4 linked regions of the Astyanax mexicanus genome follow. The protein of the gene in region 3 purifies or fractionates together with the protein of the main gene of each other region. This does not show direct contact. Links are inferred from orthologs where the notes say so. Each region holds a gene or a part of one and is shown on either strand. Other genes may lie near its edges.

Region 1 (7,043 bases), on a different chromosome or scaffold from region 3:
TAAATAAAAAAACTAAGCAAAAGATGTTTGTGTTAGTCTTCCATGTGTGTGTGTGTATGCATTCGTGTTACTAAGCTACAGGGTCCTTCCCCCACAGCTACATTAAACTGTTCACCTTCTTGCCGCTGGCGGAGGTGGAGAAGGTGATGGAGCAGCAGAGACGGGATCCAGGCAAGAGAACGGCCCACAAACGACTAGCTGCTGAGGTTACCAAACTGGTACATGGCAAGGATGGTCTAGAAACTGCCAAAAGGTGAGAACATTTTTTATAACATCAATTCATACAGTACAATGCAAGTTAATAGAGAGCCTATTTAAGCCGTTGTGCCATGAACATGAATAAAACCACTAGAATGTATGTACAAGAGTGAATGCAAGAAAAGGTTTAAAATCTTAAATGAATATAATAAAACTTATTTGTGCATTTTTGCCCGTAAATATTTTGGTTTTAAAAAGATGTGGCTATTGACGTGCTGATTGGTTGGCAAACTGATTACGTCATTGGCCAAGACAACTATTAAAACATAACAGGAATGTGGAAGCATTGCGTTATTCTGTATATAAGAAAGATTGTAATTGTTTCATTAATCATTTACCAATTTCAAATCTCAGTGGAATGCAGATTTTGTTTTGAGCAGTGTAAGATAAACTCTGTGTGTTTGTATTTGTCCAGGTGCACTAATGCTCTGTATAACAGTAGCATTGAAGCTCTGGAGCAGATGGATGATGTGGAGCTGAAGGAGTTGTTCAGAGAAGCTCCGTTTAAGGAGTTCTTTTTGGAGCCAGGCACCACAGTACTGGATGCCTGTCGGAGGGCCCAAGTCATTCCTGAAGGACCTAAAGGGTACTTTTTAATTATTTGTTGATATATTAAACTGTACTGTTTATGCTGCTATCAAAACCCTGTTGCTCACCTGCCATTTAATTTGGAAGATATTGGGGTAGTTTCTCAGGCAGGGATTAAACCCAGGTTTAGATTACGCAGCATTTTCAATGGACAACTTTTCTTTGAAAGAAAATTATAGTCTACAACTAGACTCAGAAACTGACCTATTGAGTCCTGTTTACCATATTTTTGAACTGCGCACTGAATCATAAGGAGCACTATCAACAAGCGTCTATTTTCTGGTCTATTTTCATACATAAGGCACACCTTATTATAAGGCGCCTTAAGGAACACTAGTAAGAATGCATACTTATTAAGTAATAATTCAGTTCAGTTCTGATTCAGTTCACCTCTGAGGGTGCCTAGGTAAACAAAACTCTTAAAACCGAATTCTTTCAGAGTCAAACGAGCACTGGATTAGTGCTGGGCAGTATGACCGAAAATGTATATCACAGTATTTTTCAAGATTCTATCAGTGTTTTTTTTTTTTTATTCATTCATTGTATGACTAGGCTTTTATATAGGTTTGTGACTTAGGAGTACATAAAATAAAACACTAAGGCTTTAAATTAAGTCTTTGATTACTACTGGATCTAGTTTGTCTTACAAAATTAGACAATATATGAAGAAATCAGATTTTATTAGCAGAAAAACAGCTGAAGAATATAAACAATAGACCTTAAATACGCCATCATCTTTAACAGGACTTCCTTTTAAAAAAAATAGCTAAATATTTTAGTTCCATAAACACTATAAATGGACCTAAAATACTCATTAAGTATTCAAATGAGATATTTCTTAAATGTTCTATTGCACAAGTAAGACACAAGTTTAATATCAATTTACAATGTTTTTTTTTTAATCCATTAGAGGCATTAAAGTATTACAATCAGCCACAATTCCCTTCTTTCCCCAGTTAACAAATAAAAGGGCTATATATAGTTAGCCCTTTCTAATATGGGTGTTTCCATGTTGTACATTCAGTAATAAATTAAAGGACTGGGGAATGTGTTGTCTCCAAAAACGTTTATGTCTATGATGCTATTACAGATGTAATTGTTCTTTGTGATAACACGCCACCTTGAGTGTTTTATTGTTCTACAGTAATTCAGAAAATAAAGACAGAAAGAAGCTTTGATATCAGCAGTTTCTTCTGAAATGTCTGTTCCTCTTTATAGCATTCCTTTTTATTATGTATTTATATACTATGTGTATGTTTTTAGGTTTCAAATGATAACAGACGGCGGTGTTTGGTTCAACCACCAGAGGGCATCCAACCCGGAGCAGGTCCTGGTTCCCGGACAGCATATACTTTCCAATGGACTCAGTTTGATCAGAGTGGGCAAGAAGAACTATTACATCCTGAAGTGGCTCAGTATGTGATTTACTTACACCGAAGCGAATGTCTATATTTATTTAAAGAAATATGGATAAAAGATGCAGTGTGCTGCACAATGACTAACAATCCATACACAAATCGAATTATGCGGGACCCACAAAGATTTTGGGGCGTGTCAGACCACTGGCAGGAGGACAAGCAAAACTACACTAAATCCTGAGTTGATATAGAGAAACAGACTGGCAGAGGATAAAAAGGAATGAAAGAGGAGAGTGTGCACATTTGTGTCTTTACACACTTGTGTGCACGTATTTCAGAAATAGTTGTACTGTTTGTGTGTATATGTAATTCTGAATCACACCACCAGATGTCAGTAAAGGCCTTTTCCATTTTTTGTACAGGTTTTCTGTGTTTCTGTTTTATATTTATTGTATTATGGATGCTTTCCAATTAATTCACTCTATCTGCTTTAGGACCTATTCATCTTTTTATGATCTTTAACTTTGTTAGAATGTCTTTAAAAAAATCAACTGATCTGTTGAACTGTTTCTGATGCAATTCTTTTCAGTTATGTCTTACAGCCCATATTTTGCTTACAGCTAAAAACACGTTATACTAACAGCAATAAAATAAGGTTATATAAGAATTTTAGGATGGCCCAGTCGTATTCCATATGCTAAAATAATTTTTGCCCAGTTTAATTTTTACACTAGTTGGACATTTCAATACTGAAACTGTAGTTGGTTATAAATACAGTATAATGTACACAATGAGAATTTGTCTTACTGTAAGCATGGTTATGGTTTAAAAAAACTGAAAGTTGGAAAAATAAGAAAGGAAAATGGTGTGCCACTGACTTTTATGCAGTTCAAAAAGTGTGTACTTTGCCTGAGCTTTTAAAAAAACAGTAAACAAAAAAAGAAGAAAAATATTATTTTTCCCCCAAACAAACACCAACAAAATCCAACTTAAACCTAGGTAAAAATGCTGTGAGTGTGGGTTTCTGTGCTTTGCTCTGTGAACAGTAACTGTGTTACTCTGTTTGGCTCATTGAGACACACCTATGTCCTAATCAGAGTAGTAGTATTCCTGGAAGAGTCATTTCACTGGTGAACTTTTCACTTCCAGGAACAGACACAGTTCCATTTTTGTTTGCTACGTCTCTTTATTTCTCTCTGTCTACGGAATGCCCCAAATGACTCAGTGTTCGGTATTTCATATTTAAAATTAAACATAACCAGTAACAAAAAAACTGTGCAAATGTTACATGTGTTAATAATTAGACTAACATACTTTTGCTTTTTAATTTAATCAGCATGTAAAGTCTTTTTTTTTTTTTAAACTCCTGGTGTTTTCATGTAGCTACAAACCCCCCAGAGATGATGCATGTGTTTTTACAAATATACTTTCTAGCTTTGGTTGGTTTTGTTTAGAGCTGAAGCTGGATGTGGAGTTGTTTTATTCAGGGATCTATTCAGGAGTGTCAGTAACAGGGTTTTATGAACTGCAGTTGCTCTGGTTGGTTATAATTATTTTAAGAAGAAACAGAAGAAGGCTGTGTGCAGCTTGTGTGGACGGTGTTGGAGAGGTGGTGTGTTGGTTGTTGTTAGTGTAGTAGTAGTAAGCCTACCTTGCAGTGCTGCGTGTGTGTCTGTTTTTTTTTTTCTCTCTCCTCAGGGTGGGGGAGGTGCGCTGTGCCGGAGGAGCTCAGCGTAGAGGGGGCGGGGCCTGTGTCGTCCAGCCAATCAGCGAGCACCTCCGTTTAAATAGCTCTTTGTGTCAATCATTTTTCTCTCCACTCAGCCTCCCCTCTATCGCCATATTGGGCACCGAAAAGCCTGCTGTTATTTTCTTCCCTTTTACTACGAGGCGAGGCTGACAGGAGTGCGCACTTCGTCTCGCTTTGACTGCGCTTTGTTTTGATGGTCTGTGGAGGGGAATTTCTCTCGGCGTGTGTTTTTTCCTCGCGCTCTCACTCTTGCAGAGCATGCACGCGCTTGTGGCGAGTACAGCGTGTGTGAGCGTGAGCGTGCGTGTTTTTCTGGATGCCTGCTGCTGTTGTTGTGCAGCGCGTTGAGCCTGGAGGAAAGCGCCTGTTTTGAGTCGCTGTTTGTATCGGTTATTTTGTGGGTTTTTTTTTTTTTTTTTTTCACACGCCAAAAAATAAATAAAAATAAAAGAACGATGTCTAATGTGCGTCTCTCGAACGGAAGCCCGACCCTGGAGAGGATGGACAACCGGCCGCCCGACCAGCCGAAGCCGAGCGCCTGCAGGAGCCTGTTCGGGCCGGTGGATCACGAAGAGTTAAAGAGGGAGTTAAAGGGACACTTGATGGCGATGGAGAAGGCGTCGACCGAGTCGTGGAACTTCGACTTCTCCAACTTCACGCCTCGGCGCGGCCGCTACCTGTGGTCCCCCGTGGACAGCACGGACTTACCGGGCTTCTACAGCTCGACAGGGAATAAGAGCGTGGATGTAAACGGGAATCACGAGCGGCTCGCGGAGCGGAGCGAGACCCAGACCGAAAGGAGAGACCCGCAACAGAACGTCAAGAACAAGAGAAAAAGACCGTCGTCCCTCGGTACGCAGTGCTAGATCTTATTTTTGTTTCTTCTGTGTGGCGAAGTGAAGTTGTTTTTATTATCTTGTGTGGCGAGTAGAAAACGTAGCTAGCTAACGAGTTAGCCAACTAACCTAAACTCTAACTAGCTAGGTTAACCGACGTATGTAACGTAACGTTACGAGTGTGTGTTAAAGTACCTTAGCAGAAAACGTAAATTACTATTTTAGCCAACTAAACTAAAGCTAGGTAGCTAGTTATCTAACCAACACGCGTACGTGTGTTTTAGTCCGTGTTAAAGTACGTTAACTAACGCTGCGAGCTGTCGTTAGTTTTTTCGTAATAAGTGATCAGCGTTCACAACCTCTTCATTTCAAAATGTAACGTATCCAGGTAAACTAGCGCTACTAGCTGTCCTAGCTAACGTTAGTTAAGTTAACAAAATTTTAACTCTTAATTTAGTAACGTATATTTATTAAAATGTGTTACTGATAAAATGGCGCTTTTACAAGAAAAGTAAAAAAATATAGTAACTTAGTTACGTTAGATATAATATGGCTTTATAAACTATCTCCACTAATTTAAATAAAGATAAAATAAACGTATTTTTAGTTGCATTAGATACATATTTTTAACGTTGAAGACAAAAAATCATTAACGTTAAACCTATCATTCAACTTCTACCCAATATTATTTAAATGTCAATGTCTACACTGCAAGAACACAGTACAAGGTATGATATATAATGTAAACAAGAATAACATACATGTTTGATGTAACCTAAGTAACTGTTATAGTTTAATACAAACAGTTGCTACATATTAAAACAACGTTAAATCAACCTTAAATAATCGCTGCGCACGAACAGATCAGTCCTTACGTCTGAAACTAACGTCGTTTCAGAGCTTTAAAGATGGAAAAATGAACGTTGGTTCAACGTACTTTTGCTGTCTGGCTACTATTTAATTGCTATTTATATAATTGCTCTGGTTTTAGTTTGTGTATTATATATTTGTGTATATATAGCTATAGCAGAGCCGGCCAGGCAGTTAGAACAAAATCCTACCTGTACTAATAGTAATAGTAAAATACTTAACTAGCCGATCTAGCGTTAGTTAGTTTATCTACATTTAAAACTCCACAGCTCGCTAACAAATATACAATGGTCACAGTCTAATAGGTACTTCTTTTTTGTTGGAGTTAGTCAAACATGTCTAGCTCCATTTGTAGCCAGAATCCCTCATTGTGTGTTTTATTTATTTTTTTTATTATCTTTCTAAATTAGATTCCTCGTGTCAGACTAAACGCTCGCGCACCTGTGTGGATGAAGTCTCGTGCCGGCCGGGTTTGACCCAGGCGCTCGATCACACACCCGTGAAGTCGAGCCCCCAGCGGCAGACGTGAGCGAGCCGTGTTGAGGTAAGGAGAGCACCACGTCACCTCACTGTACTCAAACACCACGAGAGCTGATACTACACTCACTGATGGCTATCTGTGTACTGGTCAAAGTGGATCAAATTACACTCCCTCGCTGAATTTTACAACACTGTTTAGCTATGTTCATTTATATTTGCCCAGTTTGATAGGCCTGTCACAATAATTACATTATTGACTTATCGCACAGTATTATGTACATGACCTAAATCATTTTCACTGACCTCAATGTTGTCTGTTGAATCTACTTGGCTCACATTTTAAGTGAACGAGCCATTTGTTAAAACATTTTTTCTGTTTCTGTGTCTGATGAATATATTAAAATCTCTTTCTCATTAAAAGTAATGTGTAAATACTTTTATTTCTATTATCATTAAATCAATGAAATAAAATAGTCTTAAAATTACAATAATATCATTGCTATTGTTTGTGGGGTCTATTACGAATTGGTTATCGTGACCAGGCTTACACCCAGTATTGTAGCAATAGATTCAAAATGGTTGCACATAAACAAAAAAATAAAATTAAGGTAAATGTTTTTACCTTTTGGTCTTAGGTGCTGGGAGCTGGATTACCTTTTGTTTTGTTTTTTTGTTTATATGATATATTTTTTTATTATTTTATCTTATTTTAAACATTAAATGTATTATAATATCTCTTAACTCGTCTTAATCACTTGTCTGCATTCGAGTTAAGGATTCGCATGTTTTCTTCACTCCTGCCGTGCCGTATGTTATCAAACTTTGAGCATTAAATGTCCTTTCCATATTTCATTATGTTTAAATCTATTTATGATTTGTGCAGCTACAAGGCTGTATTTTAAC
Region 2 (7,818 bases), on a different chromosome or scaffold from region 3:
CACAACCACAAAAACATATTGGTCAAAAGAAGAAAAAAACAAGAGAGAGAGGTATAAATGTGGATCACGCATACATACCTGTTGCACATAGAGCCACGAACGTCTGGGCATGCTTGCGCAGGATCTGCTTGGTGCCCTGGTGTATCTGCAGCTTGGTGAGGAAATGTTCAATGAAGTCGTGTGGTGTCACTGAGGCTAGATCCCACTTCAGCTTGTTCAGCGCCAGCAGCTCCATTTGCTGTGAGAAAGACACACGAGAACAGAGCGGCGGTTTACATAAAGGACTTCAAAAAGTTCTTCACGCTTCCACCATGTGTGCTCTCACTGAGCAGAAGCAGTCAGTAGTCTAACGGTCGACCACTAGATGGGGTCATATCTCAGGAGCTACAATAGCACTGTGCTATTCAATTGATTTAAGCTATTCAATTAGCAGTACATTTCAACCCACAACCATTTAAATGCTGACATGCAGGGAGTTTCCATTCTGAAACGCTCTCTCTCTCACTTTCTGGGTTTGTCTATGACTAAAAACTAAAATGCAGAACTGCACTGCAACACTGCATGCATCCTGCAAAACCTTAATGCAAGCAAAAAAAGCTCCCAAGAGTGATTAACCCTCTCAACCTCATAAACTTCAGTGTATTACTGTGTTGTTATAATTAATGTAATTAATTACCAAGAGCTCGCATGGACGAATAGAGTTGTCTGTGTATATGCAGAGCTTCTCAGCTGTGAGAGGAACGGTTTCCTTCATCTTGGAGGCCAGGAACATGCAGGCAGCTCCAAGCAACTGCAGCCTGCTCTTCTTAGTGGGCTCCACAGACAAGAATCTGTCCAGGTAGTTCATAGCCAAGGGAAAAACCTCCTCTTCACATTTCTGCTCTTCACACACCTTAAAAGAGAGAAGAGTTTTTGAGTCAGGAGTCACAAAAGTTGAGAAACAAAGCCATAAAGCCGACAACTTACATATGATTTCTAATGTAAGAAAAGAAGAAAATAAATACAAGAAAGACAAGCAGTGAGATTGATTGCACTTAGTCTTAAACGAAGTATTTGTAAAAGAAGACATTAAACATTAGGCCTGATTAAAAAAAAAAAATTTTATTCTCGGAAAAAATGGACTTGTGGAAGTCCCACGTGCTTTGTGTGCACCGGGCATAGCTTTAATACTGAAAAGCCTAAAAAAAATCCATCTATTGCAGTGCAAATAAATGTATTAATAATTAGATTAAAGAGAAGCATTAGCTAGCTGATAACACGGCTTTAGCACCAGAGGCTTTCTAGAGAGCGCGAGCAGTGGTGCACATGCTAGCAGCGGCTGCTTCCTTCAGAATGCTACAAAGGTGTCGTCACAATTTCTAGTTCGTCATCTTTTCAAAAAATATTTAAAAATATAACAAAATTGTTGCGGCGCACCTAAATAGTCTCTAAATATCCTTTGACGTATATTCTATCGCTTCCGATCGAAAAACGTCGAATTTGTGAAGGTTAAAGGGGTAAATTTAATTTAAATGTCACCGACAGTGAAAATGTGGACTGAAGGACATGCTCGACGCCGCGAGCGCGCTTTGAAAAATTAATATAAATTATTCTTGCGCACTAAACCCCACTTTATACACGTCTAAATCCGCCTCACACCCTAAGGAACCGAACCCGAACCGTTTCGGGCTTGTGTTCGGCTTCAGAAACGTAAAAAATAACATTTTTGTACGTCTTGGAGCTTCAGAAGCCGACAAGCGGAGGGGCTCGTGTCTGAACTGAAAGTAAAGTTTTAAGAGCTTAAACCACTACATTGCACCTCAAAATTCACCTCAGTCCCCAAACACTAAGTTAAATGTGCGATAAAGAGTGATTCTCGCACATTGTCTTCAAATGTTATAATCGTTTGAGGTGTTTTTTTAACATATTATTAGAACTTGTGTCGGCGCGGCAGCAAAGATGGCGCATAATAGGCTACTGGCACGAGTGGGATTGCATACGTGTACATCGATATTAAATCGAAATAAATTCGATTAAATGTTTTTGAGGATCTTTCTTTGGGTGGGGAAGAAAACGAAGCGAAAGTGGTCACATCTCTGCGAGGCTTTTTTATTTTTATTTTTTAAAGCGGAAAGGAGACCTCCTCGCAAAAAAAAAATCGCTCGAGACTTCCTATAGCTAACTTACTTTCCTGAGGTGTTTTTTTTATTTTCTCAAAATAAAAAAAGCAAAGTGGCTTAGAAAGTGTATTTCGGACACTTTTCGAGCATTAAAATCCACTTTTATAGCTTTTAAGCCGTGACAAACTGATAGAGAATGTTTTTTTAAAGCGTTTCCTCCGGTTTCTACCAGGCCTGTGCGGAGAGATAGAGGTCCAAAGAGCGTGAGGAGAATCGTCTTGAGAAAGGGAGAGGAAGAGAATAAAGCGCAAAAAAGTTGTGCAATGTTAAAGACATGGGATTAAAACGCCTCTGTCTGAAAACACAAACCTCCAGCATCCATGTGGCGACGATTTTCCTCATTTTAGGCACGATTTCCTTCTGAACGCACTTGAAGTAGTTTGGAGAGGGGAGGTAGGTCTCTTCAGCCCTCAGCATGGTCTGTAAAACTCGGTCGTTCAGCAGGTTCGTGTCGTGGTAGGCTCTCCGCACGGCGTCCACCTCGCAGCACAGCAGCTGGTGCTCCATGATTTTCGGGGTAATCACAGTTTTAGCGGCAGATAATTTAATTGAAGCACTTGATTAAAGCGTGCGTCCCGCGGATGATGCTCTTGTTGCGGCTGCTGTTGTTGCTGCTGCTGCTGCGGTTGCTATACTCAGTGTGTGAGAGAGTGTGCGTCTGTCTGTATGAGAGACTGAAAGAGAGAGAGAGAGAAAAATCCACCGCTTGACCAAAGAAAAAAAATCCTTTGGATGACGTGACTGTTGTTAAGGAAGATCAAAGCGCCGCGCGCGGCCTGAGAGAGATAGAGAGAGAGGGAGGTGGAGAGAGAGAGAGGGAGTGTACGAAGGAGAGAGAACTTTGTGGTCGTTTCTATTGCCGCCAGTGTGGAAATGGGAGGTCCTTTTTTTTTTACTTTTACCCCGGGTGGCGAACGGCTGAGGGGTAGACGGTGGGGGGTAGGCAACAGAGGAGGAGCGAGGGGGCTTTTGAGGAGGAGGAGGTGTAGCTAGGCTGGAGGGGGAGGGGGGGGTATCAAATGAGTATGAGTGAGAGAGTGCTGCTGGTGCTTTTGGTGCTTTTGGTGGTGGTGGTGTAAAGATGTGTAAATGTCTAGAAATGTTGGTAGGGGGCGGTATAACAGGACAAATCACCGACCCTAATTATTATCAGTTAAAGCGCAATGGAGCTGGACTTTCTAGAAACTGTCAGGCTTTAGGTTTATTATTAGTATATTAGTGCGTTATTAGAGTGCGTTTATGCATGTTCACAATTTCTACAGTAATATTATAGGCTCAAAAATAAGTTTAAAATAAAACTGTGTGATTAAAAAATAAAAACAAATGCTGCCATTCTATTACAATTGTATTTGTAAATGCGTTTTCTACTTCTCTTGTGGCGCATTCTTTTAGATACAGGCTGCCATAAAACTTGTGAAACTTAGGGGAAATGAGGTTTTAAACGCTGTAGCAGCTCTTTGTCTTCCACACCAAGAAAAGAGAAAAAGAGGAGGAAGCCGAAATTAGCGTGAACCAATGAGCGCAAACTTCAGTTGCCAGGCAGAACTGCGGCTGGAGCTGTGGAGCTTTTTATCTCAGCCCCTCATTGGGTGAACGTGTGTGGGAATGTGAAAAAAGTAAAAAGAGACAAAAAGACAACAACTACCGCAGTTTGATCACAGACAGGAAGAGAAAAGTAAAGACAGAAGTCAATAAAGAGACTCGCAGTTTAACACTCTGCATTATCAGAAAAGGGGAAAAAAAGTTAAAAACATTACATCAAATAATTTCAAGTTATTTCTAATTAAAGTAGACAAGTCGAAAAAATATTAAAGATTTATTTAAGGGATCTATGATAAGTTTTTTTTTTAAATATATATATCTATTTTTTATGCGTCTCTCAAGTCTCAGACTTGTGTGTGAGTGTGTGATGTTAACAGTTTTGCTCAAATAGGGGCGCTCTCACTTTAAAGACCTCACTGCTGGCTGTCGCTGGGATGAATTGGAGCCTTTGAAATTCCTCACATTCCTGACTGGACACTTTTGGATACCGTATAACATCTAATACAGTCGCGCTAAAAAAAACGGAAAGAAAAGTTGCCTGTTGCTTCTTACATAAACAATGTAAACTTTTTTAAACTCTGTTTTAGATTGCACACGGAGCTGTTTCGCTGCATATACGAAGTTTTAAACCGTGGTTAAAAAAGGAGGCTGTTTAAAATGCAGAAAAACACTGCTGTAAATGTGGAAAAGGGCACAAAAGTTTTCACACAGTAACAAAGCAACTACAAAGCAGTTACATACCAGCATGACACGAACAAGGAAGTGCTAAACAGTTTGAAACTAAAAAAATATATAAAGTATGTTTTTTTGCTAATGTTTTGTTACATTTTTATTCACATATTATAAGCTGTATTATATCTGTAGAAGGCGCTGTTTTAAAGTACTTATAATCATAGTTTATTTTCACAGTAAACATTAACCCTTCTAAATTAAATAACCAAATACAAGAATCATATAACTCAAGAAAGCCTACCCATATTTGCTTTGCTTTTTCCATGTTTACTACTGAATAATTATAAATTTACTACTGAATAATTATAATTATAATAGTACATATGATATGTATTAAAAGTCTGAGATAGATTATATGCACGCATTGTATAAGGTCTAATAAAATGTTAATTTAACGTTAGATAAACCATATAAAGAAAAAAAAGCCTCTAGGTTAAACAAGACATAGATAAATAATCTGAAAAAGATAAATCATATGCATGTAAGTGGGTCTCAACCTGTTACTTGCTAAAATGTAAGCCCATCCAAATATCCTAAAACCGATTCCACAGTTTATATATAGTTCTGCATTGTTCTGCATGTTCACCCTGCACCCACATGCATGAGCTACAACACAGAGTCTTTGTTGAATGAAAGACCATGTGAGTTTGTGCCTGTGCTGCTCTTCCTGCTAATACGGTAAACTGAATAGAAAGTTTTAAGGCCTTGCAAATGTCCCTTTCAGCAGAGACCATTCTCACATGTTCTCAGAGTTTAAAAGACTTGCATCATAAATGCAGAGCAGTGTTTTATTTCTTCATTTAAAAGAAGAACTGGATGCAGTGTTGCTACATTCGTTCATTTCCTCAGATATTTTTAATGAACGTTGTTTCAATATGTTCCTTTTTTTGATCAGGGAGCTCCAGCTAAGCATGAATAAAAGTGAACTCAGATGATACTTCAGACTGAGTTACAATTTTATTGTAACTAGTGAATTTACCATTTATTTAAGTACAGCTGTATAATGTTGTGTCATAAAACCAGGGGGTTAAAAACTAAGGGTTATTAAAATATGGCAGTTTTTTTTTTTTTTTTACAGAAATAATGAATGTGTGTAGTATTGCTGCTGGCCTGTTCTGCAAGTTGAAAGGACATTCTCTGAGTTTCAGAGAAAAAACAGCTGTTTAAAAAGCGATTTCAATTAAACTTTTCAATTAAACTTAACGACTTAATTAAACATAAAACACAAAAACTTACCTTAATAATCAATTGTTTTTGATTATCTGACATTGATTTAATTTTCCTACAAAATGTACGTTATTTGGACACTTTGAAAAAAGTTACCTAAACAATAAATAGATAACAATAAATAGACTCACTCACTCAGAATCCTGACCCCCCACTAATACAGTACTGAAACTCTGCACTACAATGCACAAAGTACTGGTCCCTTCCAAACGGACTTGCACTACACACCCAAACCTGCACTACTGATATACTTGCACTGTCAATTCGCACTTTAATTCCCCATAAACTGTGAACTTTAAGAACTTTACGCACTCATTCACTTTACCAGCCTTAAGCTATATACCATATACCGTATTTGCACTACTGATATATACTATTTATACTGTCATTCCATCTCAATCACCATCAATATTGCACTATTGTCTTACGTATGTTTATTGTGTCTTGTTGTATTGTACATATAGTGTCTCCCACTCTTTTATAGTATATATCTATTTCTTTTTTTACTTATATTTATATATCTATTTCTCCCCACACCACTGCACCTTGTTTCTGTCTCATGTATGTCTATTTGTGTCCCTGCTGTATTGTACCCATAATTTCTCCCATTCTCTTTTACTATATCTATTATCTGTACTTGCTGTAAAATTGGGAAGGAGAGTAACGTAATTTCAATTCTCTGTATGTCCTGTACATATGCAGTATTGACAATAAAACTACTTGACTTGACTTGACTAGATTTTTTAGATAACAGAGTGCAATACATTATATTGGAGTAAAAAGTCTCCTTTACAGTAAAACACATGCCGCACATACAATAAACACTTATTTTATTAATATAATACATTTTAAAGACTGCAGTGAAGAACACAGGATTGTGTTTTTTAATATCTGTTACACATACACTGTTTTAAAACATAATTTAACAAAATAAAAACACAATTATTGTTCTAATAATGGTTAAAAATTCTAACTAATTGAATTAAAGTTTATATGATATAAAGAGTGAAAAGCTAGGATAATAGGATGAACTATATAACTTTTAAAAAACAAGATCTCATTTAATAACAAATAATAACATAAAATATAATATTAATGAAAGAATAATAAAGGAAACAAATACTGAAAGGTAAAAAATATATTTAATTTTAGGTATGTACAATATAGAATTTGATTTAGTATGCAATGTAAGGATGAATGGTCAAGTATGTTTAGTGCAAAAGTATATATATATATATATATATATATATATATATACTAAGTAATTTATTATTCAGTGTGTGTAAGAGTTTACCGCTAAAATGTATGCATTAAGCTAACTCTCAACAACTTTAAAAATGATTAAATGGCTTTTAAATTATTTTGGAACCGAAACCCTTAAATAATGTTTACCTCATATAATGGATTATAAATGCTAACACATAACTATTGTACTGTTTCTTTGCATGTATTTTAATATTATTTTCAAACAAATAATACCTGTCATTAACTCAGAAGGCCTGCATAAATACCATTTGCATGTTATTTATGCATATACGTCAATTAGCCATAACAATAATACCACAGAGAGGGAACATAAATAATATAGACTGTCTGGTTACAATGGCAGCTGTCTAGGTTTGGGATCTATGTTTTAGGCAGCAAGTGACCAGTCCGTACTGCTGGAGAGGAAAAATAGGCAGGCATAAACATTTAATCACAGGGACAAGAACCTATTTGTATTTTAGAAGAAATATTTAGTTTCACAAGTCAGCATGGGGGACATGCCAAACAATCTGCCATCCACATCAAAGAGAAGAGTATCTAATGTACCACAATTCTTCAAAGTGAAGGAAACATTCCATAATATTAGTGAAATGTTTTAATTCAGAGTAAATGTTGAAAAATAAAATGTTAGACTGGGTTTGTATGTAATTTAAACAACTATGCTGTGGACACAAAATTGTTATATTGATATCTTTTATAATATTCAACAGTAACCAGATATATAAAGTACTAGAGACTCAGACTTGAGTAAAAGTGCTCTAATCAAAAAAGCGATGAGAGTAGAAGTTGAAGTGCTCTTTAAGCTCCACACTTACTTTAGGTATTGCAAGTAGTTTAGTAAAAATGTAATAGTGAAGTACTGAAAGTAAAAGTACAGTACTGTGTTATGCAG
Region 3 (7,235 bases):
ACTCCAATGGGCAGTAACAAATGAACAATTATTTACTTGAGGAAGAAGGGAGAGGACAAAAAAAACTTAAAAATCACCAGTTTAAATATGTGTAAACCATGTGATCTACCAGATTTCCTTAAGCTTTAAATAGTGAATACTTAAATATAAATAAATTAATCACTGTTCGATTGGGAAAATTAAATAATAATTCAGTGTCAATCAAAACAATTAGCTGTATTAAATTTACACAATATTATGTGATTAATCATATGTCATTATCATATTTTTAAGCAGGTACTACGCTGTAAACTTGCTTTTCAAACTAGAATATTGTAAGACAAAATATAAACATGTTTGCAGGTCTATATTAGGGTACTATGACACAGTTATTGTCATGAACTTTTGCTTTTTGGAAAACACCGTGGATAATGCCACTAAATAAACCTGATTGTTGTAACTCCTGTTTAATTGGATATAGTGCAGCAAACCTTTACACAAATAAGTGTACAATTTATGCAAATAAATATATCAATATGTCACACTATATCAGATACTGTAAACAAGTCAATAAACTGCACTTGTTTAAATAAAAAAAAATTAAAGTGATATTTTATACATAATGTTTTATACTATAAGTAAAAGAATTGTATTTTTTAATGCAATCACAACAGTGGAGTGTAACACTTCTACCTAGAGGGATTAAATGGTTTAAACAAGAGTGAACTTTATTAACAAATTCCTAAATATAAAGGAATAATTAATAATCAGTACTGTTTGACAAAATTATACATATAGCAAAACAATATACTTTGATTATTTTTTTTTCATGTTCAGTTTTGAGCCAACAAAACACAAAAAAAAAAATTACCTAAATAAAAGTGTAGTATAAGCATATGAGAACACATCATAGATATACAAGTGTACACACCGTACGACGTTAGGGTGCTGAAGCTCTTTGAGCAGAGAGATTTCTCGGACGGCTGTGCTCGGGACCCCCTCCTCCTCGCTCTCCAGGCGGATCTTCTTCAGGGCCACCACCTGACCCGTGGACTTGTGACGACCTTTATACACAACTCCATATGTACCTAAGACAGGACAACACACACAGGACAATTCTTACCACCAATAAGACTAACGTACGTAATATAGCATTACTGCTGGTTACAATATGATCACACACTGAATACAGCTCTGGAAAAAGAGACCACTTCAGTTTCTGAACCAGTTTATCTGATTTTGCTATTTAAAAGTATATGTTTCAGTAAAATGAAAATTGTTTTAACATTTCTGCAAAATCCCCAAAAAAAATTAATTTAGAGCATTTATTTCCAGAAAATAGAAAAAAAAAAAGATGCAGAGCTTTCTGATCACAATTTTCATGCATCTTGGCACGTTCTCCTCCACTAGTCTTACACACTGCTTTTGGATAACTTTATGCCACTCCTGGAGCAGAAATTCAAGCAGTTTAGCTTGGTTTGATCATCAGTCTTCCTCTTGATTATATTCCAGAGGTTTTCAATTTGGTAGAATCTAAGAAACTAAGCATTTTTAAGCTGTCTCTTTTTCCAGAGCTGAATAATATAAATCAGAGTCAGGCTAGTTTCTGAAGATACTAATGCACAGTTATCACTCACCTTCTCCAATTTTCTCTATTTTCATGTAGTCTTCCATTTTTATCAGTTTTCTGTGGAGAGAAACACATTCAGTCTTTTAAAAATTTCTGCAGCTGTAGAATGTCATAAGGTTTGTAAAATTACAGTATAGACCAGTACAGTTTTTTTTTTTTTTAAAGACAACTGTATTTATGCACACAGACACACAAGACAATCAGATTCAGACGTACCGTGGCTTAAACTAAACGCAGTAAACAATTACATTTGCATTAAAAAGGATTTTATTGTTATTATTAAAAACATGAATAACTACACATATACTGACTGCATGATTTCAAACAAACATCCAATCTTGGTATTTATAAAAGCCATCAAAATGGGGTTTCATTTGCCTTTACACTGTAGTTTTCCTGCTTAAGTCCATTTGTGTTACAGTAGTTAACATTGCATTACAGAGCTTGGGCTACACATGTAATTAGCTAGTTACTTTATCCTGACATTTTATGTCAACATCTAAAAAAGGTGCATTTTATTCTATAAGATTTACCTGTATATATATATTTGTATCTATTATATATTCTGACTGCCTTTTGTTTTCTTGTTCAGGCTCAGTCGTGTTACAGTAGCTGCTGTTTCTGAACAGCCCTTCGGATAAAATGTTTATTATAACCACAATAGTTTAACTAAACAACAAAAACTTAACAGTTATTTTTTATTTTTTTGGCACACAGCCCAAACTGAGTCCCACTGTAGCTAATTACAGAACTTAACCTACACCATTTTAATGTCATATTAAGTACATAAAACCGTTTAACACACACTCATAAACCTACACACACACACCAGCCTGTGATAAACTGTCTTTCTAAGCTTGTTAACTAGTTAGTTATACATTTGATATTAATTATGTCAAAGAAGACTTCAGCAGAAATTAGGGCTTCATGGTTATACAGTCTCCTGTCACTGTCCTCCATAAGTCACCTAACCTAGGTTATCTAATTTAGATAAAAAGCTACACAAACTATTACTCGTTTTAATGATTTAGCTAATGTTTACTTAAAACAAAAAAACCAACTGTACTTACAGCAGATTTGACCGAGCTAAGCTAAGCTAACGCTAGGCAGACAGCTAGAGTTAAAGCTGAAGCGGATCTGACTACAGTTAGCACTGATGCTAACTCCTCCGCTTTTAACTGAACATTATTACGGACCAAATAAAACATTCGCAGAAAATAGCGCCCGAACACTCACCCGCGTCCTCTAAACACGCTGTCCGGCGGCAGAATAGTGTGTGAAAAAGAGTGAATGTGAGTGTGTGTAAAGGTGTGTGTATGTAAGAGTGAGGGTAAACTTGTCTGTTGGAGAATTCCTCCCGTTCAAACTGACCGCGCTGACGCAATTCAAAACGGACCAATCACAGCACACTGACAGATTTTAAACAGGCCAATCAGGTGGAGGAAGAGCTCCGGCGGGAGTGGTGTACTTTACAGCGCGACCGAAGGATATAATGTCACGAAATCCATACCTGAAAAAAAAAAAAAAAAAAAAAAAAAAAAAAAAAAAAAAAAATATATATATATATATATATATATATATATATATATATATATATATATATATATATATATATGTGTGTGTGTGTGTGTGTGTGTATATTGTAAAAATACACCAAAAAGGGTTGTGTAAATCATTAAAAAAGGAAAAAATGTTTATTAAAAAAAGAAGAAAATATATATTGTAAAATAAGCATATACAAAACATATATTAAACAAAAATAGGGAGGGGTGGTTGGAAAGAAGTCATTGGTTAAAAACTTAGCACTGGTCTGTAGCAATAAAAATAAACTGTAGTAAAGCAGTGCTGGAACATGTAACATGCAACATCTTTAGCTAAGCTTAACATACATTGGATTAGGTCTCAGTTGTTCAGGTAAAGTGAAACAATAAAGTCATTGCTAAGATAATTTTAAGATGACAAAATAATGAAAAAACAAATTTTTACGGGCCATACAGCACTGCTACTGGAAAGTTAAAAAAAGTGAACTGTTCTAAAACTGGTACATATATATGCATGACTCACACTAACAATATGACCCAATTAACACCCGACACCCGTTTTTTTTTTTTTTTTTTTTATCAGCACACTCTTAACTGGACATCCAGATATTTACCAATATGGGAAATATGTCTCAGTATGAGACTATAATATTGTGTGGCCTTGTAATTCCAGCACTAACATGGACACAGAATATGCCACAGATAACCAACTACATATAGGGTAAATAATAACTGTTATTTTTTTAATCTAACTATTCACTGTAAACATAGAACAAACATAGGGCACATTAAAACATAGGGGCAAACCTGCATTATGTATAGGCTTTCGCCAGCTATAAAACATTGACCCAGCCTCAGAGGACCACAAGACAGATTGCACTGGTCCCTTCCTTTAAGTGTATTAATTATGCATGTGTGTGTGTGTATCTAATGGATCATTAAGGGGTAGTGTTTGGACATTAGTGGTGCCTGAAATGTGCCCTCTAATCACTAATGTGGAGTTGTTTACAACATGAGGTATCGCCATACCTGTCAAGTCTCCCGTTTTGGCCGGGAAACTACCGTATTTTACTCCTCTTTCCCGCCGTCCTCCCGTATTAATATTTTCCCGTAAATTTCCCGTATTATATTAAAATTAAAAAAACTTTATTATTGAGGAGACAGGGCACTGACCGATCTGTGTCTCTTAACCAATCGTGGTGCCGGTTCAAGGAGAAAGTCTCGCCTTTCAGGAGAAACAGCCAATCAGCTTGCTGGTTTCGCGGAGCGCAGAGGTATATCAGATTCTGATAATCTAAATTTAGTGTGTAAGTGGTTCACATGTGGTTATTTTAGATTTCTTGTAAACCTGTCTTAAAATGTAAGGAATACTAAATCTTGGTTGGGCTGGTGGGACGACTTTAAGCGGACGGAGGAAAATATCCCTTATTTTTAAATATAAAACTTGACAGGTATGGGTATCGCGCGCCGCCACACGAGGCCACTGCAGCACGACTCATAAGTGTAGTGTAATTCTGTGGGCCACCAGTGGAGTCGCTGTTTCCTCTGTACAGCCTGTTTTCCAGACGGTCATGATCAGGCCATTATTGGGTAAAGGTAAACACACACACCAAAGGCGCTATGTTACAGGTACTGTTACTGTGACACTGTGTTATAGTAAAATTAGAAGACCCCTAACACAAAAGACAAACTGGCTGTCATTAAAAAATGTTCCTCCTAGCACAGCAGACTGTAGTGATATCACATTTTACTCCCATTAAAACAACTTTCTACTAATGTATTACACATTTTGCCTGTCAAAAACAATGATAGTCCTAGAAATATTATTTAAAAACAAATAAATAATCAGTGTTATTGTCATAAACCTCTGATAAAATGCTAAAATATTGCGGAAAAAGTGGACCATTTAACATTTCGCAGTTTTAACAAGACTTGTGTACAAGCCTGACTAAACCAAAACAATGCTTAAAATGTGAGGTTTACATTAGCATACTACTTTAGAAGACGAACATTACACATTACACACATTATGTACCCTTTTAAAAAAAGCAAGCAAAAATAAGTTTGGATAATGCTGGCTGCAAAACAGATGTGACCATGAAATACCTTAAAGGAGAAACCCACTGTAAAATTAACTTGTAGTGGTGTAATGGACATAATGGTGTTGTGAAACATGATAATGGCTATGAACGTTTGGCGAATAGCCCACCTCCATTCGTCCCCAGCATTCCAAAATACGGCGCCTATAGCTGATGCTCCCAATGCTAGTAATAGGGGCATAGTGTTGCCAATCAAATAAAGCGCTATATTTGCACCATTAAAGGGGCGCTAATCCACCTGAATTTAGATGGCAAGGTACTGTGAGTATAAACAGTCTTTTAAAATAAACTACCTGTGCACTTTCAAAGTGTGGAGCTACATTGAGCATGTTATTGGTTTTAAAATAGGGATTTCTTTTTATCACTAGCATTGTAAGCCTGTTGGGAGCATTAGCTAAAAGCACTGCATTTCAGAATGCTGGGGGCAAAAGGAGGAGGGCTGTTCAACAAAAGTTTGTACTAGTTATCATGTTTCACTACACCACAAATGATTTTTCCCTTAACCCTTGTGTGGGGTTCATATTTTTGTTACTCGTTTACTTTGTTACTTGTATTTAATTCAGCAAAATTAAGCAATTTTTACATTAAAATGCTTTACACATGCTTGCTTCACCTAAATTGCAAGCAATATAAACAGCTTACATGGTTAATATTTGCCCTTTACCTTTCTTATGTTACATTTCTTTTAAAAAAGTGCTACTCTTTTTTTTATTAGTTTTTTAATAAAATGTAAAAGAAAATGAATTTAACTCAAGATATGAGTAGAAAATTTGTTTAGTTTCAAATTTACAAATGAAGCAATGTTTATTAGCCCTTGGCCAAATATACTGTATGTAATATAAATGGTTGGGGAGGGGGGTGTACAGTGTGTGATTATCGAAAATGTGTTTTGATATATGTTTTTCACAAAAAATGAGCCAATGCGTTAGAAAAATGAGTTAGAAAAAATATATTTTAGTATCATTTGATGAAACATGAAAACAGGTCCCACAGACCCGAACACCACACAAGGGTTAAGTGTGGCACTTATCACAAATAAACCTTTATATAAATACCTTTATATTTTAGGTAAGTGACGGGCAGAGAATATGATCCTGATGCATAATAAGTTTCAGGCCAAGTGAAGCTGAAGAAACTTATTCTAGTTTTAGTCTGTTTCACCTCAGACAGTCCAGCAGGTACATTCTGACTACATTTAAATGGAAGAGGGGGGACTGGGGAATTTTTGGGTATTTGCTTTTTGGCTTTAGTTGACCTGCATACAGACACAATAGAGGCACTGGAGCGCAGCAGGATTTTATAATTGCAGAGAAATCATTCCCTTCATACAGGAACAAAAGCTTTCATTCAGACCCAGACCCAGAGGAACTGAGTTTAATTAAACACACCCTCACTCCAGCATCCCAAATACATTTATATGCAGATTTACTGTGCTCTAATTGGCTGAGGGGACCATCATGTACTGATGAATAAAGGAGCCTGTTAGATAAAAGCAACAATAACTTAAAATAAAAATGCTCTGGATTCATATGGATTGTAAATAATAATAAATTAATTAAAGCCAATAGATGAGTAATGTATGTCTTTATATATCATGGTTTACAACACAACACAAAAGTTAGATATGTTAGAGTTATCATGACTTTGATTGCAAACAGTATGAACCCAAGATATTTTATGTTTTATCTGCTCAACTTCAACTTTATGTGTTATTAAACATCCATTCCTGCATTTCAGGCCTCAACACTTTCCAAAAAGGCAATGCCAAAGCATTTCCCACTTTGTAATGTTACTGTTCCTTCTTACAACACTTTTTCTACTGAGTATACCAATAAATTAAGTCTACCCTGGATTTATACGGTCTGCCATCAAATACATGTGAGAAAGACATTACTTATTTGCTTTTTCTGATTTGTTGGTATTACAATGTGTAATAACACACACACACACACACACATTTAACTTCTAGGTCAGCTGAGACATATC
Region 4 (7,042 bases), on a different chromosome or scaffold from region 3:
TTTCGCTTCATGTCTCCACTCACAGCTCGGACAGCCAGCAGATCCTCGGCGGAGAGGGACTGCAGAACATACAGCAGAACCTCCTCAGGAAGGGACAGCAGGGTCAGGGAGCGGGTCTGCTTTCGGACCCGTTTCCTCGCAGGCAGAGAATAACATTTAGAGCACCGACAGTGAAGCACTGGAAATTAAAAATGAGAAAAATTAGATTTAGACATTAATAAACATATATTAAGATTTTTTTTACATACAACTGAAATAGTTTTGCCATAGTAAACCATCAGCAGTAATAGCTTGATATGACATTAGTTCCCTAACTAGAAAAAGTCCTTCTGTTAAAAAAAAAAAAAAAAAAAGTTTCTGAAGAGACTTCATGATAGCCAAGTTAGCAAGGTTTGATTAACAAACTAACTACTTTTAACTACTTCCCTTCCTTCACTCCTCTATCCCATTATCTCCCTTTGACCTCCTTTAGGCCCTATATAAAGATGTTTTTAACATCTATTACTTTTGTACTTCACTACTGTAAGTCGCTTTTGGAAAAAAGCATCTGCCAAATGTAATGTAATTAATACAAGTTTTTATACGTTGTAAGTACTTCCTAATAGACGTCACAATAAAGAACTCCTATGATTTACAGGCATTCAAGGAAACTTTGTCACTCACATCACATGTGGTAAATAAGGTGGAACGAAATTGTAATCTTACAATCCAGTTCCACCCAAAAAACTATTTTTAACAAAATAAATATATAATAGAATGAAAGTAAAATAAGAGCAAAATATATATATATCAAGATGAATATACAAAATAAAACACATAATAGAAGTGTAGGGAAATAGCATTAACATGAAATCCAGAGTGTTAGTTTTGCCCTAGCATCATGGACAGACAGATATACAGATAATGTTACTTTATTGATAACGAAGAAAATTTAGCAATGATGATGGATGATAACTAACACAAATCATAGTTACCAACTGGATGAACCACCAGTTATAGTTCTAGATAGCTAGCCTGTATGTGTGAAAAGTGTTTGTTAGTTAGTTTAACTAAGTTATATAATCGGAAGTCATATGAAAAGTCCCTCCTTAAAAACAAGGCCTAGAGACTTTTAAAGCATTAGTTATTATATTAAAAATTAGTAGCTATTTATAAATTCTGGAGCGACTCCATAGCTAAACTAAGAAATACTCTTGTTTATTTCATATAAATATATGAAAGTAGTTAACTAGCTATGAAGCTACTTAAAAAAAACTATTATACATTATTATATTTTAACAATAAGAAAAGCATATGACTTAACGACTTAAAACACATTTACACTGCCTGTATTTAGTAAGATACCAACAGCTTTAGTGAGCTATAACTGGCTCTCCTAGATAGCTAGCAAGCTAAGCTACTTAGTTCCCTCCTTAAAATCTAGGGCTTAAGAGTTTTAAAGTATTACTTATTATTATATTTAAAATAATCAGCTGGTTATGAATTCTAAAGGAGACTCAATGACAGCTAAACTAACAAATACCCTACTTGGGGTTATTTCATAAAATGTTGCTTAGAAGCTTTAATATTATGCAAGATATAACGTTATTTAGTTCAGCTTCTTAAAGTCACACAGTCACATAGCCTGTTAATTACATCTCCCTAGCCATACGAAGATATAACTAATAACTACATATTCTAGTAGGTTATATTGTTAAAAAACATTTGAGTTAGCTCAAGTTATATTTAAAATGGTAATTATTGGTATTATTTGGAAGTTCCTGGCTGGGTTTTGGGTCCTTAGCTAGCTAAGTTAGCTAGGTTAACTAACAAACTGTTGCTTAGATCATTTGAAAAGTCCATCCTTACAAAAAACTAGGGCTACAGTGTTTTAAAGCATTAGCTAACTATCTTTATATCACTTAAAATGCTCATCTACTTAACCGAATTTTCATATGATGAGAGATATTTAGCCACATATTTAAACATAGTCACTTAGCCTGGATAAACCAACAACAGTTATAGCTAACTTACTTAGCTATGAAGCTGCATAATTAACTTAGTATTCCTTAGCCCACTTTAATAATAAGAAAATCATATGATTTAACTACTTAAAACACATTTATACAGCCTGTAATTATATGAACCAGCGGCAGCTATAACTTAGTTAGCTAGCTAAGCTATAGTTAGCTTACATCATTTGAAAAGTCCCTCCTTAAAAACTAGGGCTAAAGAGTTGTGAAGCATTAGCAATCATTATATTTAAAATGATTAATTTAATTTGGTTATAGTATTAGATTTCGATAGATTTTAAGAAAATTTCATACAAGTAAAAGTCTTTATATGATGTGGGATATATTTACTTATTTAAACCACCAACAGCTAACGTAAGGTTAACCTATAGCTTAGCTTCCTGGTTGAGAAGCTATAACTAGTAGGTTAACTATATTTGCGATTATATTGATTAGTATATTGTTTTAAAAGATTTGAGTAAGCTAAAGCTTTATTTAAAGTCATTATTTTTATATTCTTGGCTGTTTCTGTTTGAGTTTTGAGTCCTTAGCTAGCTAGTTAACGTTAACTACCTAACCTAGGTTACTTGTATGTTATCTGTAACCTACAATATAATGTTAGCTAAACAAAATCAGACCTTAAACAGAGTTATCAGCAACCCACATTAACAGAAATATGTTTTTGAAAATATAAACAAATACATAAATAGGCAGTTTGACTAAATAACACTAGGCATTGGAGCTGAATCAGTGCTAACGCTAGCTAACCTAAGCTAACTGTATCAACATAACTCAGATAAACTCATCTGAATCACTTACCGCCCGCTTTCATTTCAGTAGAAGATGAGCCCTGTTGGTAACTAGTCCCCGAAACTAGTGAATTATACACAATTTTCAGTTAAATTCTGAATATATATAAATATATTTATAAATATATTAAACAGTATAAGCTACAGGGAGCCGCTAACCCCAGTGCTGGGCTGTTGATTAATTTTAAGCACACCGCCTGAGCCTCAGATCCTGCCCCAGGCACTTAGCCCCGCCCATGCGCAAAGGTTTAAACATCAACCTCGGGAGCTCATAGGCTACAATCCGGGCCCGCCCCTCAAAACCCCGCCCCGCCGATTTGCGCAGACGCACAAGTCGGCGTACAATTGGTGTATGCCTCGAATACTGAAATCCGCTCCTCTGATTGGACAGACGGATGCTATTTCGAATTGCGCGTTTCCCATGTTGTTGCTATTGGTCGATACATTTAAAGGTATATTTTTGGGCGGGATTTACATTTGAAGTTTAAAAAAAGTTGTAAAAGTGTGTTGAATATAGATTTTAAATAGTAATCAGGATATTATAGAGCCTGAAACACGATGGATAGTTTAGATTAGATTACATCTATTGATCCATTCTTGATGAATGGACCAATAGAAATACTTTAAAATGGAAAACAATATTTTTACATTGACATCCAATGAAAGTTTAGACGTTGCTGTTTTGGAGATATTTGTTTTGCATTGGACAGTGACGATATGCAGTTATGAAATGAACAAAAAAGTCAAAACACACCAAAATATGTTTAATATTAAATATTATAGATTATAGATTAAAATCTTTAAGATAAGATTGGACCTTTTGCTTTGATGCCAACTTTGTCCACTCTTGGCTGATTCTATCAGTTAGTTTTATGAGGTAGAACCTGGAATGGAAACTTCCAACTGTTCTAGAGATGCTGCCTCTTTATAACTGCTTTTTCTTTACTCTATGCTCCAACTTTAATAAATTAAATACAGCAATACAAAAAAAGGTTGAACAAGAATATGTGTCTAAATTTTCGACTGGTACTATATGAGCTGATTTAATGGTAAATATACTAAAGCCTTAAAAGTGAGCTTTAACATGTTAAATTCATTAAAGTGCAGCAAATATAATATAAATAACAATAATAATTATACTCATTCTTTTTTTCCAGTTTGGGTGGAATTTGGCTAACATTGAATGCATGAGTTAAAATCAAATCATGAAATCCTGAGTTGAATTGGTTCTTCTTGTTTTATTCAACTTCTATATTACTGTGTATCCAGTCATTTCATTTGGTCTGAGTAGGAAATCTGACATGGGTGAAGAATTCCAGCTAAAATTCCCTCCTGGGAACTTGGAATTTCCAGATCTGAATTAAAATGGAATTCAGCATGAGTACTAATGAAACAAATGTTACGTGTTAAGCGATCTTGTGTTAATTATTGCTGATAGTTTCAGTATACAATGCTGTATAGTTAACTTTACATATGACAATATCAATTAAATTAACCTTTACAGTCTTATATGAATCTATAATATATGATGTTTGACTAAGTCTTAAACTATATAACATATGTATGGACTGTGCACTGTAATCTGGAACCCTCCACTCAGTTTACCACAACCCACCACAGGAAGTTGTCCCCTCGGTTTCAGACAGTGTGACTTTTAGCAAGACAATCAAAAACTGCTGACGGCTCACTTTCACAAATGCACCGCCAGCAAACTGCACATTTCTCCCTTTGCAGCCCATAATATAATATCATTAAACCATTTAAAGAATTGGGAGATTTTTCAGTGCATAAACGTGTGTTTGTTCAGATTAATCAGTATTTATTTATTTTTATTTTTATTTTTAGAAATTGATACCATCCAGATGCTAGTATCTGTCATTGTATGGATGAAGCAGCATATTATGTAAAATTTACTTTTTGCATGCTTTTATATTTTCATTTGGGTCACAACAGCCCCTATAAACACTATAAACACTCCAATCACCAAAAAAATCCAGCCATTCGTTTTCTGTGAATCAGCTGAAAGAGTTTGGGTCAGGAATCATTTGCTTCTATGAGCTGTTTGGGTGGCTGACGTCACAATAATGAAACCAGCATAGAACCACCCTGGCTCCACCCCTCACCGATCTACCCACTCACTAGATCAGTTAAAGAAACACAATTTCGGTCTGAGGGAGGGATCTGAACCTACCGTCCGCTGTGCCCACACCGTTTCTATCTTGGAGGTGGAAAAGGAGCTCCACTGACTGATTAAACCCTGACAACAGTCAATTAATGACCTGTGAACACGCAGGTCAGTATCCTCTGATAAGATACGAACACGCCAAAGTCAGAGCTCACCTGCCTCTTAATGGGAATGACAACTGACACACTGATTGGTCTATTTCACATTACGCCCAAAACCCACCCATGATTAATTAAGAGAATTTGTTCATGCCTTTTGACAGTTTCGAACCACGAAAGGCGTATTTTTTGTGCCCTCACGATACCAAAGACACACAAACACGTCCTATAGATCACTATGCGCTATAGATCATTAAAATAGGTCCCATGTTTTGCTGTTTAGCACAAGCTAACTATAATGTGTGGTAAACAATCAGCGTAAACATGGCTCATTCTAAAAGGGACTGAAACTGGTAAGAATAAAGCTGGTGAGATCTCTTTATCTTTATGTGAGAGTGATTTTGTGCAAAGAACTTCATGATCGTGTTTTGTATAGAGCATAGACCTGTTCTAACCTATTATAACTAATAATTAAAAAAAAGTATAATACAGCTCCGGAAAAAATAAGAGAGCACTTAAAAATGATGAGTTTCTTTGATTTTACCAAATTAAAAACCTCTGGAATATAATCAAGAGGAAGATGGATGATCACAAGCCATCAAACCACCAAACTGAACTGCTTGAATTTTTTGCACCAGGAGTAAATCAGCATAAAGTTATCCAAAAGCAGTGTGTAAGACTGGTGGAGGACAACATGATGCCAAGATGCATGAAAAAACCTGTGATTAAAAACCAGGGTTATTCCACCAAATATTGATTTCTGAACTCTTAAAACTTTATGAATATGAACTGGTTTCTTGTCATTTCTCATTTTCTGCAAATAAATGCTCTAAATGACAATATTTATATTTGGAATTTGGGAGAAATGTTGTCTGTAGTTTATAGAATAAAACAACAATGTTCATTTGACTCAAACATAAACCTATAAATAGCAAAATCAGAGAAACTGATTCAGAAACTGAAGTGGTCTCTTATTTTTTAATGCAGAAAAGTGCATTGAGATCAACAATGTAAAACCACATGCTGCACACATTCTTACAAAAGCGTGGCCATTAAAGAAGGGGGTACAGATACTATACTGGCCTGTTGAAGCCATGCTCACTTCCTAAAAGAGATGTGTAATATGCAGGTGATTTTAAAACAGAAAAAAACAGGACAGTGAGACCCCGTACTGTTGTTCAACACTAATGCTCTGTAATAATGCCATAAAATCCCTGGATCAGAAATATGACATCAGGTCAGATTTTCAGTATGAACCCCATGTGAAAACTGCATTAACACCAACTGTGTCTCAAAAGCCCAACAGCCATTTAAAAAAATTGATTAGAGGATTGATTTCCTTTCATGCTGTGCCCGCGAGGCCGGGTCAGTGAATTAAAGCCCGGGAGAACAGAACCGATCCATCAGGAAGTGCTGCCTCTGTTTCCAGGTGCTACACAAAAGCAGCATGTAATTAGAGGCAGTGCGATTCCAATCAGGGTTCTCAGCATCCCGACCAAATGACCCGTATTTACTAGGACCGTGAGTGTGTGTGTGTGTGTGTGTGTGTTTGTGTGGACAAGACATGCCAAATTAGGATTGAAGGCACTGCTCAAGCGTTTCCATGGCAACCAGAAACAGCATGGCAGTAAAGGGTGTCCGTCTCGTACAGAAATTACACTTTCATTACTGTTCTCCGATCCTTTACATTCACATTTATTCAATTTAACCAGAGGCATTAATATAATACAGTGCATGCGTGACACATATTTAAACAGTGACACATTCTTTTGCCATTATTATAAGATATTAAGTCATAATTATTAGGTCCTCAGTCATTATTATGAGATTATGAGTAAGTCATAATCAGGATAATATCCCATTATGATGGGATATATTATTAGAAAGTATGCTATTATTATGACACAGTCATATTTGTCATATTTGTGGTAGTAAGTCATTATTATGAAAGACCAAGTC

Evidence for each region.
Region 1: the proteins of cdk1 (region 3) and cdkn1bb purify together in Homo sapiens (affinity purification with mass spectrometry; 8 studies listed by BioGRID and IntAct, counting the BioPlex papers as one, with this or other methods). This does not show direct contact. The link is inferred for Astyanax mexicanus from reciprocal best matches to the Homo sapiens genes CDK1 and CDKN1B.
Region 2: the proteins of cdk1 (region 3) and ccnd1 purify together in Homo sapiens (affinity purification with mass spectrometry; 4 studies listed by BioGRID and IntAct, counting the BioPlex papers as one, with this or other methods). This does not show direct contact. The link is inferred for Astyanax mexicanus from reciprocal best matches to the Homo sapiens genes CDK1 and CCND1.
Region 4: the proteins of cdk1 (region 3) and ccnf purify together in Homo sapiens (affinity purification with mass spectrometry; 3 studies listed by BioGRID, with this or other methods). This does not show direct contact. The link is inferred for Astyanax mexicanus from reciprocal best matches to the Homo sapiens genes CDK1 and CCNF.

What each region holds. Positions count from the first base shown.
Region 1 is NC_064409.1:49,297,320-49,304,362, reverse strand, and holds the start of cdkn1bb (cyclin-dependent kinase inhibitor 1Bb), read left to right. Parts: upstream 1-4,039; 5' UTR 4,040-4,409; coding exon 4,410-4,806; intron 4,807-6,070; coding exon 6,071-6,189; 3' UTR 6,190-6,204; intron 6,205-7,043. Other genes in the region: yars2 (tyrosine--tRNA ligase, mitochondrial), read left to right, coding at 98-253, 674-844, 2,110-2,269. UniProt on the Homo sapiens protein: Important regulator of cell cycle progression. Inhibits the kinase activity of CDK2 bound to cyclin A, but has little inhibitory activity on CDK2 bound to SPDYA. Involved in G1 arrest. Potent inhibitor of cyclin E- and cyclin A-CDK2 complexes.
Region 2 is NC_064423.1:33,877,837-33,885,654, forward strand, and holds the start of ccnd1 (G1/S-specific cyclin-D1), read right to left. Parts: upstream 3,020-7,818; 5' UTR 2,667-3,019; coding exon 2,469-2,666; intron 893-2,468; coding exon 677-892; intron 239-676; coding exon 79-238; intron 1-78. UniProt on the Homo sapiens protein: Regulatory component of the cyclin D1-CDK4 (DC) complex that phosphorylates and inhibits members of the retinoblastoma (RB) protein family including RB1 and regulates the cell-cycle during G(1)/S transition.
Region 3 is NC_064421.1:44,353,836-44,361,070, reverse strand, and holds the start of cdk1 (cyclin-dependent kinase 1), read right to left. Parts: upstream 3,004-7,235; 5' UTR 2,846-3,003; intron 1,667-2,845; 5' UTR 1,654-1,666; coding exon 1,617-1,653; intron 1,068-1,616; coding exon 911-1,067; intron 1-910. UniProt on the Homo sapiens protein: Plays a key role in the control of the eukaryotic cell cycle by modulating the centrosome cycle as well as mitotic onset; promotes G2-M transition via association with multiple interphase cyclins.
Region 4 is NC_064426.1:40,349,071-40,356,112, reverse strand, and holds the start of ccnf (cyclin-F), read right to left. Parts: upstream 3,019-7,042; 5' UTR 2,824-3,018; coding exon 2,811-2,823; intron 179-2,810; coding exon 24-178; intron 1-23. UniProt on the Homo sapiens protein: Substrate recognition component of a SCF (SKP1-CUL1-F-box protein) E3 ubiquitin-protein ligase complex which mediates the ubiquitination and subsequent proteasomal degradation of target proteins.